Notamacropus eugenii: one gene and its partner. The protein of the gene in region 2 purifies or fractionates together with the protein of the main gene of each other region. This does not show direct contact. Links are inferred from orthologs where the notes say so. Each region holds a gene or a part of one and is shown on either strand. Other genes may lie near its edges.

Region 1 (7,686 bases), on a different chromosome or scaffold from region 2:
GAATGCTTTTTAAACTTTGTGTTGTTTTTTTGCAACATGCCTAATATGGAAATATTTTTTACATAACTTCCTATGTATAATTTATATCAGATTGCTTTCGTTCTCAGTGGGTGGGGGAACAGCTGGAGGGAGGGAAGATGGAACTCAAAACATAAAAAAAAGAATGCTAAAAATAAATAGATAAAAAAATAAAATAAATGGAGATTGGAGGGCAAGATTTCCTTTAGCTTGGAGGTCAGGAAGTATGAATCAGGGAAAGGCTTCATAATGCACCTGAACTGAGCTTTGAAGAAAAAGGCAGCATTGTGGAGGGAGGCCTCCCAGGCATTAGTACAAATGGTCTGCACAAACTGAATAGGAATTCCTGGACACTTGGAAAGAAATGTTTCATATTTCAAGTACAATGTGCTATTAAGAGTAACAACTTCTGACAATGTTTCAACCTTAACAGTATGCAATAGGGCATCTCAATCATCTTTTTGTGTCTCAAAGGAGTGTCTCACTGATAACACACAAGGAGACATTGGAGGTCTTGGACTGCAGCCTCTAACAGGTTCACTCTTGATCTGGTCAGACAGGCAGGCAGCTTCTGGGGGATTAATAATCAGCTTTATTCTATTCTAGTCTTCTCAAAGGGTTGTGGGAGAACCAGCTCCTACAGCACTCCCTAATCACCCTTCTTGAAGGGGTCAATCCAGACAGGCACACTTCTGCTTCCCTTAAATCCCCTCAAGCCTCCATGGGGGCCAGTTGAGACACACAAACTCCCTGTGCCTTTTCCCCCTCTATGGGTTTCTCCCCATTCACTGAACAATGCCCACTTGCTTTTATAGGGACAAAGACAGGCAACTTGCCAACATTAAGCTCACAGGTAACTTTAGCAATATAATCGTTCTGGGCAAGTGCAGTAAATATCAATTATGTCACTCCCATTTCTCATGGTGCAGCCTCAGTAAGACTGTCTGTCACTATGATTCTAAGAACTATTATCTAGAATCCTTGGGACCATTCTGGGAGTAACTATCTAATAACTATCTAACACCTGTAAACTAGACATTCACATGGCCATGGATCCTGAGAAACTAAAAGGATAACAAAAACCTCCTTACATACAGGAGAATAGCTTTTAGTTTCATAGGTAAATTGCTAGAAGGAATCTTAGAAATAATTGAATCCAAACCCTCTACCTCTGTGAGTTATCTTCAGGAAACTAAGACAGAGAGGTTAAGTGACTGTTAATAAAGGGGCAGAAGGTGGACTCAATTGAACCTAGATCCTGACTCTAGGATTACTCCCCTTTCCCACTGCCCCAGGTTAGGAGTCAACTTTCAGAAAAGGAGTGAAAGAAGAGGTTGAACCCAAACCACAGAGGCCTTGAATTCCAGGCTAAGTCTTTTATATCTTATCTGGTAGACCAAGAGGACAGATAAGGTGCACTGGAGAGAGCATGGGGCTTGAAGTCAGGAATATTTGAGTTCAAATCTGGCCTCAGACACTTACTACGTGACCCTGGACAAGGCACAGTTTCTTATCTGTAAAATGGAGACACATGGGGGAAGGAAATGGCATAATCTTTGCCAAGAAAACTTGTGCTTATCCATGGGGATCAGGATGAGTCAGAACAAGCCATGAGAATCTACTAGGGGCTTTCTAGCAGCCATAGGGCTCTACTAAAACTGTTACTTCAAGGTTCTTTGAATCACTCCCAGGATGAATGATAGAGGGTTAGTGAAGAAATATTAAATGCTCTCAAAATATTGAAACTGGAACCGACAAAGTATCTGGAAACCCAGAGGTTCTTTTCAAAGTTTAGAAAAAGGAGTTACAGGGAGAGTGCAGAAGGAGGAAAGACACCCCTCCATTAGGTTTGAGGTCCTGTCAAATCCTTTTGAACTTGAAATCCTCTCTGATCCCAAGTTCAAACTTTTCCAATCACGACCACCCACTTGGGCACTGAGATTTCCCTTACGTCACCAATGCTTTCTGGCCACGTGGTGGCCACATGTAAAAACAAGAAAGCGGTGACATAATGGGGCAGTCACGCCAACCACGGGCGTTGTAACAGCGATCTCGAGTTAGGGAGATGGATTTGCCCGATGCCTATGGAGGAAAACCGTGGCTACAGCGGCTCGGAACAGCTTCTTTTGCAAGTCAGAGCTTAACTTCACTGGGGACCCGGGTGAGGCTCCGCAGGCTGAAAGAAGCCCCTCCAGATCTGCTAGGAAAGGGGGAGAAGACGCCTCTGCTCCCCTGTGAATGCCACACACCTAAGGGGGAGACTTGGGGGGTGGGGGCCGGCAGGCGAGATGGGAGTGGGCGGTGGGAGAGAGTGAAGGAATGGGAGGGAGAAAAGGACAGAAAAAGACGAATGATACGGAGCTAAGGGAGGGAGGGAGATTCGCAGAGAGGAGGAAGGAGATATGGAAAGAAATAAAGGAGGGAGAGAGAGGGGAGGAGAAAGGGAGAAGGGGGGGGAGAGAGAGAGAGATTGGGAAAGAGGTAGGAGAGAAAGACCGTGAAGAGGAAGGAAGGACTGAGAGAAAGGGTACCGGGAGATGCGGGGAGAGGAAGGGGATACAGACAGACACACACTAACTCTCTCTCTCTCTCCCCTCCCCCCGGGGTGGGGGGCGGGCGCGAGCACTTCGGCTTCCCCCAGCCAGCCCGAGGCTGCTCCACGAGTCCCCTCCCCTGCGCGCCACCGCCAGCACAACATTCCATTTATAAATAACCCCCACGTGTGCTGGTAAATAAGCGCGCGGCGCGTAACTCGCGAGGCTCCCGCCGAGCATGCGCCGGCACGCCCGCCCCTCCCCTCCGCACGTGTCCGCCGACTTCCCTAGCGCCGCCCAGCTGCACTCAGTCCCCTCCCCGAGATTCCGCTGCCCTCCCACTGCTGGCCCCCGGGGCTTTGGACACCGCCCCCTAGCTCTGGGCTCGCCAGCCTCCGGGGTCCTAGAGCTAGCCCAGGTTCTTGGCGTGCCGTGGGGAGCGCTCTGCCGCCCAGTCCTCTCTCTTCAGGAGGCGCAGGCAGAAAAAAGAATCTTTCTGGCTCGCGCGCTCTTTTTTCCTCCTCCATCCCACGGTTCCTTAGGATTTTACTCGATTGTTTATTATTGGCGGGGCGGGGGAGGGGAGTGGTGGAAAGGGGCGGGAGATGGGAGGCCGGAGACTGGAGCCTAGGCGCCTGGGCCAGTCAGAGTGCGGCGGGGCTTGATGGGTGAGACGAGCAGCGAATGGTGGCGCGGCAGACGGCGCGGCGGTCACGCGCTTATTGATACAATGACATCATCTGTTTGTACGCGTCGAACTAGCTTGGTGCAGGGGCGGGAGCGTACGTCACTTGAGTGACTGACCCTCCGCCAAGCTCGGAGTCCTCGGGCGCCTCCTGCTTGGGGAAGTGGAGGTGGGGCCGGGGACGGGAGCGGGGTGGAGGGGCGCGGCTTGGCTGGCAAAACCCAATGGATGCGCTTTTGGACAATTTCGGATTGCTAATGGGCTCGCGGCTCGCGTGTTCCCAAGAACTTCCCTGAGACTTTATGTAATGACAATAATAAATAACGTGTGTGACTGAAGACAATCTGATATTTCATTTCCACTTAGTACATGTAAAGAAGTGCACAAGTAACCTGGCGTCCAGCTTTAGGCTCACGTCCCTAATGCAAGGAATGAGTGGTGAAAGATGTTTGCCGGAGAAAAATCTATTTAGAAATGGAGCGAACATACGTAATTACCATATTAAATGTTGTACTATGTTATAGTATAAATATTAAATACAGCACAAATACTGTATTAGAGCAACTTGAAAGTCTATTTTCCAACAGCTTGTGACTATCTGCTTCTGCTTTTCCATTCAAGTATTGTTCTGTCGGTACTAATTACTTCGTTCCTCTCTTCTTCTCCCGCCTCCCCTCCTCACCCCCCCGCCATAAAACCCATTCAAAGGAAACCTAGTTTTCTTCATGAATAATCGTGTATAAACTAGCATCTGGACTAGTGTGCCTACGTGTTGGGGAGCCCGCGAGGGCCCGTACATTAAATCAAAGGGTTTCTGTTTGTATCAGTCTGTGCGAGTGGCAATCTCTTCCTCGTGGTGTCATGCAGTATATGCGGTGGGTCCCTTAACCCCCGGCCTAATCACTCGTGCAAGTCTTCAGCCAACGTCTTAGTAAGGAAAAGAGCAGTTATCACATCTCTCATCTTCTCTGGAGCTCATTAGGACATGAACACTGAATCTCCTCCAGAGTGCACATGAAGGAGCTCTCAACTGTGGGTTCCAACTGTACTGGATCCTGTGTCCCCAGCTCCACGGAAGTCCTGAGTGAAATTCCCAAAAAGCAAAACACTTTTACACCAGGTCGTAGTTTTCTGGTTATTGGGAAGTGCGGCCGGAGAGATACAGGGAGAGACTGACACTTTGTAGCTTGCAAGCGAATCCATTCTTGCCCTTGCGGGAACGTTCCTGGTAATAAAGATCTCAGCAAAGTTTCTCAGCTCTCGGTTCCCCTCGAGCTTTCTCCTCCCCTTCCTTGTCCAGCGTGGGCGCGCACGCACACACACACACACACACACACACAGACACACATCCCCCCCGCTGCCTGCCTTCTCGGTCCTCCCTCCCCCTGGGCGGGGACCTGTCTGCTGTCAGCTTAGGTTGAGGCTCCCTGCGTGTGTCTATAACTTTGTGTAGCTGCTGCTGCTGGTTGTTAGGAGAAGGAATGTGGAAGTCAGCAGTGTGGAGGGTGACAGGCTGCCCGTGCAAGCTGCAGGAGCGGCAGCAGCAAAAACCTAAACCCTTCTCCCGCGCAGATTCTTCGCTTTCTCTTTTTCGCATTTTTGGGAGACGTGCAGAATTTTGCATTCTCCCCCATCGTTTTTAAAGGGAAGGTGCCGCGGTAGACACAGGAACTATGCAACGGGGTTGCTGCTTTTCTCTCCTGTGACTCCGGATCTGTTTTTGAACAAGCTCAGGTTCTTCCCTTTCCCCTCCCCTTGACTTTGTCTTTTTCTCCCCCTCCGCCGTCTTCCCCAATCCGCCCCCTTCCTCTCCCTTTCTCCCTTTCTAGTGTTTTTTAAAGGACTTGAGTGAAGGGGGGTGGGGGGAGAACTGTCAAGATGGCAGCAGCAGGAGCAAGGAGGTTATGAATGTGTTAGTACTGGATCTTCTCGCAGCCTTAGGGAAGACTTGAAGCTTCCAGACCTGTTGGAAGATTTTTGCTTTGATTTGCCTTTTTTTCTTGAGAGGCAAACGACGTCAGCAAGAACATTGCAAAACAAAACACCAAAGTGGTTTTTCCTTGCCCAGTTCAGCTTCTTGCGAACAGCCTCCGTTCTATTCTTTTGATTTTTGAAAGTATCTCGGACTGGACGGGCATGAATTTAGATGCATATTAACCCTTTCCTGCCTCTGAGTCGGAACGAGGAGAGAAAGGGAACTGAGGGCGAAAAAGTCATCGTGGTAATGCGAGAGCTCTAACCTCGTCTACGGAAGCAAGAAAGAAGCCTGAGCTGCTCTCTGATGGATACAGTGTAATTTCTGTGGTGCGGGTGCCTCGTCGTCGGTGGGAGGGTGGAGGTCCGAGAAAGATCGGAAGACGCTACAGACTTCTCTCCCCTGCCACAGAAGGAAGCACTTCTCTGTCTGCATGGAGTGAAATATAAACAAACACACACACTCCCAGTAGCAGAGCAGGCACCGAGCTGCACCACTCAATTGCGTTTGGCTTCTCCTCGCTTTAAAGGGACAACCCTCCCTCCCCAGTACCCTCCTCCTCCACCTCCTCACTTCCCCCTCCCCCCTCCTTCTCTCACTCTTCACCCCCACCCCTCCCCCTCCCTCCTCCGCCCTACCTTCCTCCCTTCTTCCACGCCCCAGCCACCTTGTCCAGGAGAGACCTGCCTATCTGACCGCAGCTGGGGGAGGGGGTTGCCCCATCCGTGCCTAATCCTCCGATTGTCTCCACCCCCACCCCTCCCACCCCCCCGCACCCTCAGGCGGCGGCTGCTTTGGACTGGGAGTCGCTCGCTCTACCAGGTTCACGGGAAGGGACGTTTCCAGGTCTGCCTGTTCCCCTGGCTTGGCGAGGTACTGATCTGGGAAAAGGAGGCGGCGGCAGTCAAGGTCCGCCAGGGACTTCATTCCAGCTCAGGATAACCAACTCTCTCCCCTGTTTCCCTCCTTTTCTCCCCCACCCCCCAGCCCTCCTCCCCGCAGGCTGCGATCCTGATCCCTTAGCCCGTTCTCCCCCCCTCCCCTCCTTCCCTCCCCCACTTTACCCCGCCCCAGCGAGAGAGCCAGGAGGAGAACCACCGCTCGAGCTAGAGAGCGAGCGAGGGAGAGAGCGAAGGAGCGAGCAGCAGCAGGCAAAAGGCAGCCCGAGGGCCCGGGCGGCGAAGATGGCAGAGGCGCCGTCCTCCCCGGCCCCGCTCTCGCCCCTGGAAGTGGAGCTGGACCCGGAGTTCGAGCCCCAGAGCCGGCCCCGCTCCTGTACGTGGCCCCTGCAGAGGCCCGAGCTGCAGGCGAGCCCGGCCAAGCCCTCGGGGGAAGCGGCCGCCGACTCCATGATCCCCGAGGAGGAGGACGACGAGGAAGACGACGACGGAGGCTGCGGAGCCCCTGGGGGCGGCGGAGGAGCCGGTACGGCCATGGCCATGGGCGGCGCGGGCGGCGTCCTCGGCCCGGGACTGCGCCCCGAGGAGGCGGCCCGGCTCCTGGCCCCGGGAGGGCAGGACTCGGGGTCCGGCGCGCCCCCCGGGGCAGGCGTGCTGAGCGGGGGGCAGCAGGCGCCTCTGCAGCCTCCGCAGGCGCCGCTGCCGCTGCCCCCTCCGCCGCCGCCGCCGCTGCAGCCGCAGCAGCCGCAGCAACAGGGGGCGAGCGGGGCCGCGGGGCAGCCGAGGAAATGCTCCTCCCGGAGGAACGCGTGGGGAAACCTTTCCTACGCCGACCTGATCACCCGGGCCATCGAGAGCTCCCCGGACAAGCGGCTCACCCTGTCCCAGATCTACGACTGGATGGTGCGCTGCGTGCCCTACTTCAAGGATAAGGGAGACAGCAACAGCTCCGCGGGCTGGAAGGTGCGTACGGACTAGCCCCCCAGGGGGGATCGGGAGGGAGGCACGGCAGTACTTTAACCAGCGCTTTCGCAGGTGGCAGAAGCAGTTTGAGAGGTTGCAGATAAGGTGGTGTATGTGTGGAGGGGGTGTCGTACGTATATGGAGAGAGGAGGATGGAGGAGATGGGGTGTAGCAGTGCATTGGGATGCAATGGGAAGGGTGTTGTTGAGGATGAGGGAAAGGGATGGTGATGCGCAAGGAAAAATTGGAGTGGTGGAGTCTAAAAGAGCTCCCTGGGACGAATTCCGGAGTTGGGAGAGGTTAACGAGTAAATGGGTGGGTACCGGGGAGTTTAAAAACGGAAAGGTGGATCTTACCGAATTCCCTGGACAGCTCTGAGGCAGGTAGGTGGGAAGGGGGCCAACTTCATTTGGTGATGATTACATGATAAGAAGAGAGAGAGGGAGAGAAAGAGAAAGAGAGATAGATAGATGTGTGTGTGGCCCAATCGTCCGGAGAGATGTGGGAACATAGAACAGGATAGGTGAAGAAGGTGGATTTTGGGTTCCTTGCACTGCGGAGTTAAGTGTATCGTTCTCTGAAGATAATGGGTGTCTACATGTAGTATCTTGG
Region 2 (7,232 bases):
CCTTTCTCAAGCTAATCTGCCAAGCATTGAAATGCTACTGAAGAGAGTGCAACTCTGACTGACTGGCCGCGTTGTTCAAACGCCAAACGTACATTTGCCTAAAAGATTGTTTTATGGAGAACTCATGCAAGGCAAGGGCTCACACGGTGGTCAGGAGAAGTGATACAAGGACACTTTCAAGGTCTCTCTGGCAAAGGATGGCCTAGAATGGCATACCTGCATCAAAGAAGGTGCTGTGCTCTATGAAGGAAAGAGAATTGCAGTAACTGAAAAGAAAAGAAAAATGAGAAGTATGAGTTTAGAGATACCTCTACTCCAAATGTTCATATGAACTCTTTGTGCCCAACCTATGGTAAAGCCTTCCTAGCTTACATCAATCTGATCAGTCACAGTCAGATATACTTAACCCCAACAAAGTGATGATATTTTGGTCATTTTTGATTAAGTTGCTTGGTTGTTGTCCTTCATTCTCAAAGAGGACCATTACAGTGTGTCTGACTGTGGCTGACGAGACAAATACAAGCTGAGAATGCTCCACTGCAGGTCAGGCACAAACAGTTCATGTGAACATTTGGGGGTGTATCCTAATTTGTATATCCTGCATTTCCTTTGAGCTGTCTCAACTGTGCTTCGCTCACAGAGCACAGCACCTTCTCTGATGTGGGCACCCCATGCTGAGCGGTTCAGTGCCAGTGTCTCCCATGTCGCATAAAGGACAACAAGCAACCAATAAAGGCTTCGTCAATATCAATACCATTGGTATTCCTCAATTCCAGGCTGCTCAGCTCCTTTTAATTCCACTGCCTAGTTAAGTACTCTGCATATAGTACCCATTTAATGTCTGTTAAATTAAGATGAATTGAAAGGAAGAAAGTATAGGACTTTATAATAGACAGAGAATGAGAAAAAGGAGAGGAAAGATTCAAAGATGATTCCAAAGTGCTGTGTTGGAGAAAATGGTAGGAGTACCAAACTAATAAAACTGGGAATGTTGGGAATGTGGCCACATTAGGAAGGACAACAATGACTCTATGGTTGGAGTTTGAAGGGACCTTGGAACCCATCTAGTCCAATCGATTCATTTTACACAGGAAGAAACTGAAGCCCAAGAAGACAAAATGACTTACCAAGGGTCCCCCAATGGTACAGCAAAGTCTAATAGTGAGTTTCAGGTGACAGCTGGAAGTGGAGGCCTAGTTTAAAGGTCCAGGTCCTTGGTCAGGGTTGGGAAGAGACATTTATGATCCATCACCATGGAAGTAGTGAAGGTGAGGTACCAAAGAATGTGATGAATAAAAGAGTGGGAGAAGGAAGCAAGTAGGTAAGAAAGGAAGAGAAAGAAAGAAGGCTTACAAGAAAGTAGGTAAGAAAGGTCAAGAATCAAATCTTGGGAGATAGCTACAATTATGGGACAGGAAGAAGGAAAGGAAAGAAGTCATCAGGCAGCAGGAGAAGAATGAAGAAACAACATTTTGCTTTAATTTATCTCTAATCCTTTAACTTTTGAGAAAACAAAATACTATCCCTCCCATTTCTGGGAGTTAAATCTTCATTGGGCGGCTTGGTGGTGCAATAGAGAGAGTGCCAGCCTGGTATTCTAGACTCCTAATTCAAATATGGCCTCAGACACTTAACAAGCTGTATTACCCTAGGCAAGTCACTTAACCTCAGATTCCTTATCTGTAAAGTGGAGAAAAGAATAGCTACCTCCCAGGGCTATTGTGAGGATCAAATAACATGAAAATTGTAAAGCATTTAGCACAGCACCTGGTGTATAATAAATGTGAGCTATTATTAGTCAGTCATATAATTCAACAATTTCATGTAAATAAGCTTTAATCCTGAGCAAGACCCATCTTTTTCCTTAGATTTAAGCAAAATTAGAAACTCTGGATTTCTACTTAAACTTGAACTGATTGAGAGTGAAGTGGCTATTGGCATGAGTTGGGAGATTGATTTGCCCAGGAACTACATCACTGTTTCTTGTTCTTACAAAAATCTCAGTATTAGAATTCAGAAACCTCCTGTAAAACTGATGGCTTGTTATTTACAATAACTGTAATTATTTTATTTTTACATAAATATTTACTTAAATATTATACATAAATATTATTTTATACATATTATATTTATATGTTACTATTATTTTAAGATGCTAGGATCATAGATTTAGGGATAATAGAAGGGACCTTTGAGGTCATTTAATACAACTACCTCATTTTGCAGAGGAGGAAACTGAGGTCCAGAGAGCTAAGATTACCTGTCCCAGGTCACAAATGTAGTAAGTGCCAGAGGCAGGATTAAAACCTAGCTCTTCTGATCCCAAATCTGGCCACTTTTCCATTGCCCCATGCTATAACCCAATTCACCTTTCTGGGTCTCTGCTTCCTCCTCTGTAAAATGAAGGGGTCCATTTAGATGAGGGGGTTCTGACCCTCTGTGTCATAGAGACAAGTTCATGGACCTCTTGAAATGGAACCATGACCCCCAGTAAAGAACTCTTCTTTTCAGGCCCTAAAATCTTCCCCATTATTTAAATCCTCTGGTTTTTTGCAAAAGTACTTTTTTTCAAGGAAATATGCTTAATCAAATATACAAAGAAACAAGGAAATCTAGGGTCACAATTGAATACAGTATTTATACCATATTGTCCTTTTTCAAATTTCAAAAATCAAGATTTCATCCACCTTGGTTTTCTCCCCACTGCCGCAGAAAGCAATGAGAAGATCCCAGATTTAGAGCTGGAAGGGATCTCAGGACTCACGTACTCCAACCTTCTCATCTGACAGAGAGTAGGGAAAGTCAAACGATCTGATGGTCATGAAAACATTCAGTGACCAGGTCCTCTGCCTCCCAATCCAAGACTCTTCATTCTCTCTCAGCACACTGAAGGAGAAGGCATTGAGTTACTAGGACCAAAAAAATCATCTCCTGGTGGTGGGCAGGCTCCTGGGGATCATCGTTTAAGCTAGGCTATTCCTCAGTGGTACTTGGGGCGCCTTGAGCTTGGCAGGACCTGTAGAACACCTGTATGTCCGCAGCCCTCACCCGAGGACAGCACTCCACACCAGGTGCCTGGACCTGCTCTTTCCAGCCTGTCTTCTGATCCGTCCTTCCCAGGACCACCACAGGTCTTTTGTACAGCAGACATACAGGGTCTCCTCCTCCTCCTCCACTCTGCCCAGCCTCCTCTCCAAAGCACCCTGCCCTCTCATTTCACCAAGGGGTCTCCTTGGCAGGACTGTCGTCCTTTCGCTGTTCCATTCTCGCCCGCTCTGCAGCGCTCAGCGCACGCAGCAACTCCTCCTGGAAGTCCTCCTCGCTTGCCCTTCTCTAATGCATAGATTGGGTGATTCCTTGGCACTCGGTAGTTGCGATTATTGGTCTTTGTATCGCGCCCTCCTCTGAGATCTGCAGCTCCCGGAAGGCCGGGGGGAGGTCTTTATCTTGGAATTGTGCGCGGCGCTTAGACTCGCGTGTCCCAGCTCCAGGAGCCCAGGAAGCCTCTTCCCCCGGGAGCGGGGCGGGGGTGCACCCCAGTCTTTGCCGCGGCAGCCCCGATCCCTGCGCACTGCGCAGCTCCGGCGCCGGCGGGCTCTGGGGCGCCTTGGGCCGGGTCCCTCTGCCTTATGGCCCGGCCCCTGGAGCAGAGCCCTTCCAGGACGGGGCAGTTCAGGGATGCGCGTAGTAGGAGCGCAGGGAGGGGGCAGAAATGACTTTTTCTTTCTTTTTCCACTTAGGGTCGGACACGTCCCTTCGGAGAAATAAGACCAAACTTGCGCGCGCGCCAGAGATGGGAGAAGGGGGTGGGGGTGGGGACCTGGGGAGGAGGAGAGCGGGGCGGACGGCGCGAGCCAGGCACACGCCGGGCGGGTCCGGACCAGCGCGCGCGCGCCCGCGGGCCGGCCCGAAGCCGGAGCCCCGCCCCGTCCGCCCCTTCTCCGCCCCCCCCCCCCCGCGCGCCCTTGCGCCGGGCCACGTGACCCATTTTGTTGTGGTCCCGGCCCGCGTGGGTGTCAGTGGTGGTCAGGCCGAGGGGGGGAGGGGCCGGGAGGGGCGGGGCGGGGCCGGGCGGCGCGGGTCACGTGACTGGGGTTTAAATCTCCCGCAGCCGGCGCGGCGGGGGCGCCAGAGCTGCTGCTGCGCGTCTGCTGAGCGGGTGGGCGGGGGCCGGCGGCGGAGCGCGGGCGGCGGAGGCGGCGCCGAGGCCAGGCCCAGGCCCAGGCCCAGGCGGGCGGGAGGCGGTTGAAGATGGCGGACGAGGCGGCGCTCGCCCTGGAGCCCGGCGCGGGCGGCGCAGGTCCCGCGGAGCCCGGCGGGGAGCCGCTCAGCAAGCGGCAGCGCAGGGACGGCCCGGGCCCGGGCCCGGGGGCGGAGCGGGCCGGCGGGGCGGGGAGCCCAGGCCTGGAGGCGGCGGCTGCCCCTTTCGGGGAGGCCGCGGCCGCCCCCGGCGGGGACAATGGACCGGGCCCTCGGGGCCTGCGGGGCCTGCCCCGGGAGCCTCCGCCACTGCCGGACGACGACGACGACGACGACGACGAGGACGACGACGAGGAGGAGGAGGAGGAAGAGGGGGGCGAGGACGAGGACGAGGCGGCGGCGGCGATTGGCTACCGAGGTGCGCAGGGTCCGGGCGGCCGCGACTGCGCACCGCCCCCCGGGGCCGCCCGAGCGGGGAGGGCCGAGGAGGCGGGGGCCGGGCTCTCACCGCCGGGCCAGGCCGGGCGGCGGGAGGCCCCAAGGTCCACCCCGGGCCCGTGACCTCGGCGTCGGGACTGGCTGGGCTCCTCCCCCTCTCCCGCGCTCAGTGCGGCGAGGTCACTCCTGGTCATCCCCCGCTGCGTTCCCCTCCCTTGGCCTCCTCTGCAGGACCTCCGGTGTTCGGGGCCCCTCCCGCCTACCCCTCTACTAACCTGATCACCTCTTGTGCAGAGGCTGGCTTTTCCGCAGCCCCGGGCTGCTTGACGAGGGGTGGGTTCGGATAGCCACCCTCCGCTCCTGCCTGTTTGTTTCTAGTCCTCGTTTTTCAGGGGCTCAAGTTTTATTACCATTATTAATATTTTGGACTCTGCATGTTCAGGAAGCCGGCGTAGCGAATTCTTGCTGTAGATGAAGGTAGACTGGTGGGCAAGGTAAATTGATGTCTCCTAGTTTGGAGGTGACCCCGGGCTCTCCACGTTGGTGCCAAGAGGATCCTAAGCGCCGGCTGGTTGTGTCAGACTGAAAAGGCTTCGTTGTCCCAGCGGACCTGCTTAGGTTGTTGGGAGAAGCCTCCCCCTGAATGGGCTGCAGAGCCATGAATATGGCCACAGCAACTCCCCTACAAAGGGGGTGGAATCCGAGGAGCGAGGGAGTACTCACACCAAGGAACAGATTCTTGAAGTTTAAGAAATATGGGCAAGATCACTGAATGCCAACTTTAACTTAACCTGAAAAACTCCTTTCCCCGCTCTAATCTTATTCTTGCATAGCATCTTCAGCTCGTTACTAGTCTAGCGTTTGGTAAACCAAAAAACACTTTAAAAAAATTTTGAGTGATCCTTATTGTTAGGTGTTCTTTTGGGGAGAGTAGAGGGAAAAGGAATAGTTTAGTTTGTGATAAGTCAATTCACATACAGCCTTTTACTTCTATTGACGTGAAGCTGTTGGCATCATTTAGCATCAGGTTGTTGGCATCAAGTCATTTGATGCTGCTGTCTTTTGAACTTTTGAAGCTGTGTGACTCTGGGCAAATTACTTAAACTGTTTGCCTCAATTTCCTCAACTGTAAAATGGGAATAATAAGTAGCACCTACCTCCCAGAGTTGTGTGGATTAAGTTAGATAATTGTAATAAAGTGCTTAGCACAGTGCTAGGTGCTTAGTGAATGCTATATAAATGTTAGCTATTATTATGAAGGCTTTCTAGATATAATATATATACATATATATACACACACACACATATATATGGAAGACTTTCCAGATGAAGGAAGCAAGTATGTGAATTAACTATTATTTGGTTTACATTTACTTGAAAGCCACTACTTGTAGTCCAAAGAACTCATGTTTGATAGGCAGTCCTGTTTTATAAATTATCAGTGTATTTTTTCCTTTTTGCACTATCTTAGATTCTGTAGTTAGATTGTTAATCTCTGGGAATCTAGAATCATTTCAATGAAAACACGGTGACACTGAATTACTTAACTAATTTAAAATATAGTAAATAATTGGTCTGAAGTCCTTTCACTATGTTTCATTGTTCTGAGGAGATGACCCTGGGTGCCCAGAGACCAGTGGAGGCCAAGCTGGGAGGGTTTGTGTGTGTGTTTGGTTTTTTTTACAGGTGAGGCACTGAACCAGTCTTGCAGCTAAGAACCAGTAAGGAGTTTAGTCCCCAGGTCATTAATGATTTTTAGCTACTAACTTAAGAAACTCTCTGTTTGTTGGAGCTACAGTCTGCCTTGGGAGAGAGTGAAAATACGTATGAGATTACTCTTTTAGAAGTCGTTTGTATTTACTTAGCTTCAAATTTTGCCCCCCTGTACCCATTAGAATGTAAGGGATTGAAGATAGGGACTGGTTTTTTGGTCTGCATGTTTCCAGTGTCTATAACAATGGCTTGCAAATAGACATTTAATAAATAATTTGAAATATTAATTGAACTAGGGAAGATGAAGGAAATAAGCATTTATATAGTGCCTATTGTATACCAAGCATTTTTTACAGTTATCATTTGATCCTCACTACAACCCTAGGAGGTAGGTGCTATTATCTTCATTTTACAGATGAGAAAACTGAGGCAAACAGGTTAAGTGCCTTGTCCAGGGTCACACAGCTTGTAATTGTCAGAGACTGGATTTGAACTCTGGTCTTTCTGACTTGAGTCCCACCACTCTAATATACTCCTCCACCAGCTGCTTCCAGTAAAAAAAATTTTGAGTTCATTTACTTTTGAATATCGTTATAATGGGTCCTTAATAAGATGTCACACTTCCTTTTTGGTCCTGTGATTTCTGGCTGCAGCCAGTTCTTATTGAGGAAACTTCCTTTGTAGATTGTTGGCTAACTTGTTCTCTTAGAGAGCTACCTTTGGCACTGAGAAGTGACCTACAGTCACAGAGCCAAATCTGTCAGACTGAACCCAAACCCAGGTCTTCTGGGCTTGGAGGCCATTTCTTTGGCCAGTATTCTATACCTTCCCTTTGGTCTGCCCCTTTTTAGAGATGTCATCTATTTCCTTTTCTAAGGCAT

The links. The genes of interacting proteins can lie anywhere in the genome.
Region 1: the proteins of SIRT1 (region 2) and FOXO3 purify together in Homo sapiens (affinity purification with western blotting; 4 studies listed by BioGRID and IntAct, with this or other methods). This does not show direct contact. The link is inferred for Notamacropus eugenii from reciprocal best matches to the Homo sapiens genes SIRT1 and FOXO3.

What each region holds. Positions count from the first base shown.
Region 1 is NC_092873.1:188,223,496-188,231,181, forward strand, and holds the start of FOXO3 (forkhead box protein O3), read left to right. Parts: upstream 1-4,654; 5' UTR 4,655-6,396; coding exon 6,397-7,074; intron 7,075-7,661; exon of another isoform or gene 7,662-7,686. UniProt on the Homo sapiens protein: Transcriptional activator that recognizes and binds to the DNA sequence 5'-[AG]TAAA[TC]A-3' and regulates different processes, such as apoptosis and autophagy.
Region 2 is NC_092872.1:261,064,422-261,071,653, reverse strand, and holds the start of SIRT1 (NAD-dependent protein deacetylase sirtuin-1), read left to right. Parts: upstream 1-4,170; 5' UTR 4,171-4,251; coding exon 4,252-4,618; intron 4,619-7,232. UniProt on the Homo sapiens protein: NAD-dependent protein deacetylase that links transcriptional regulation directly to intracellular energetics and participates in the coordination of several separated cellular functions such as cell cycle, response to DNA damage, metabolism, apoptosis and autophagy.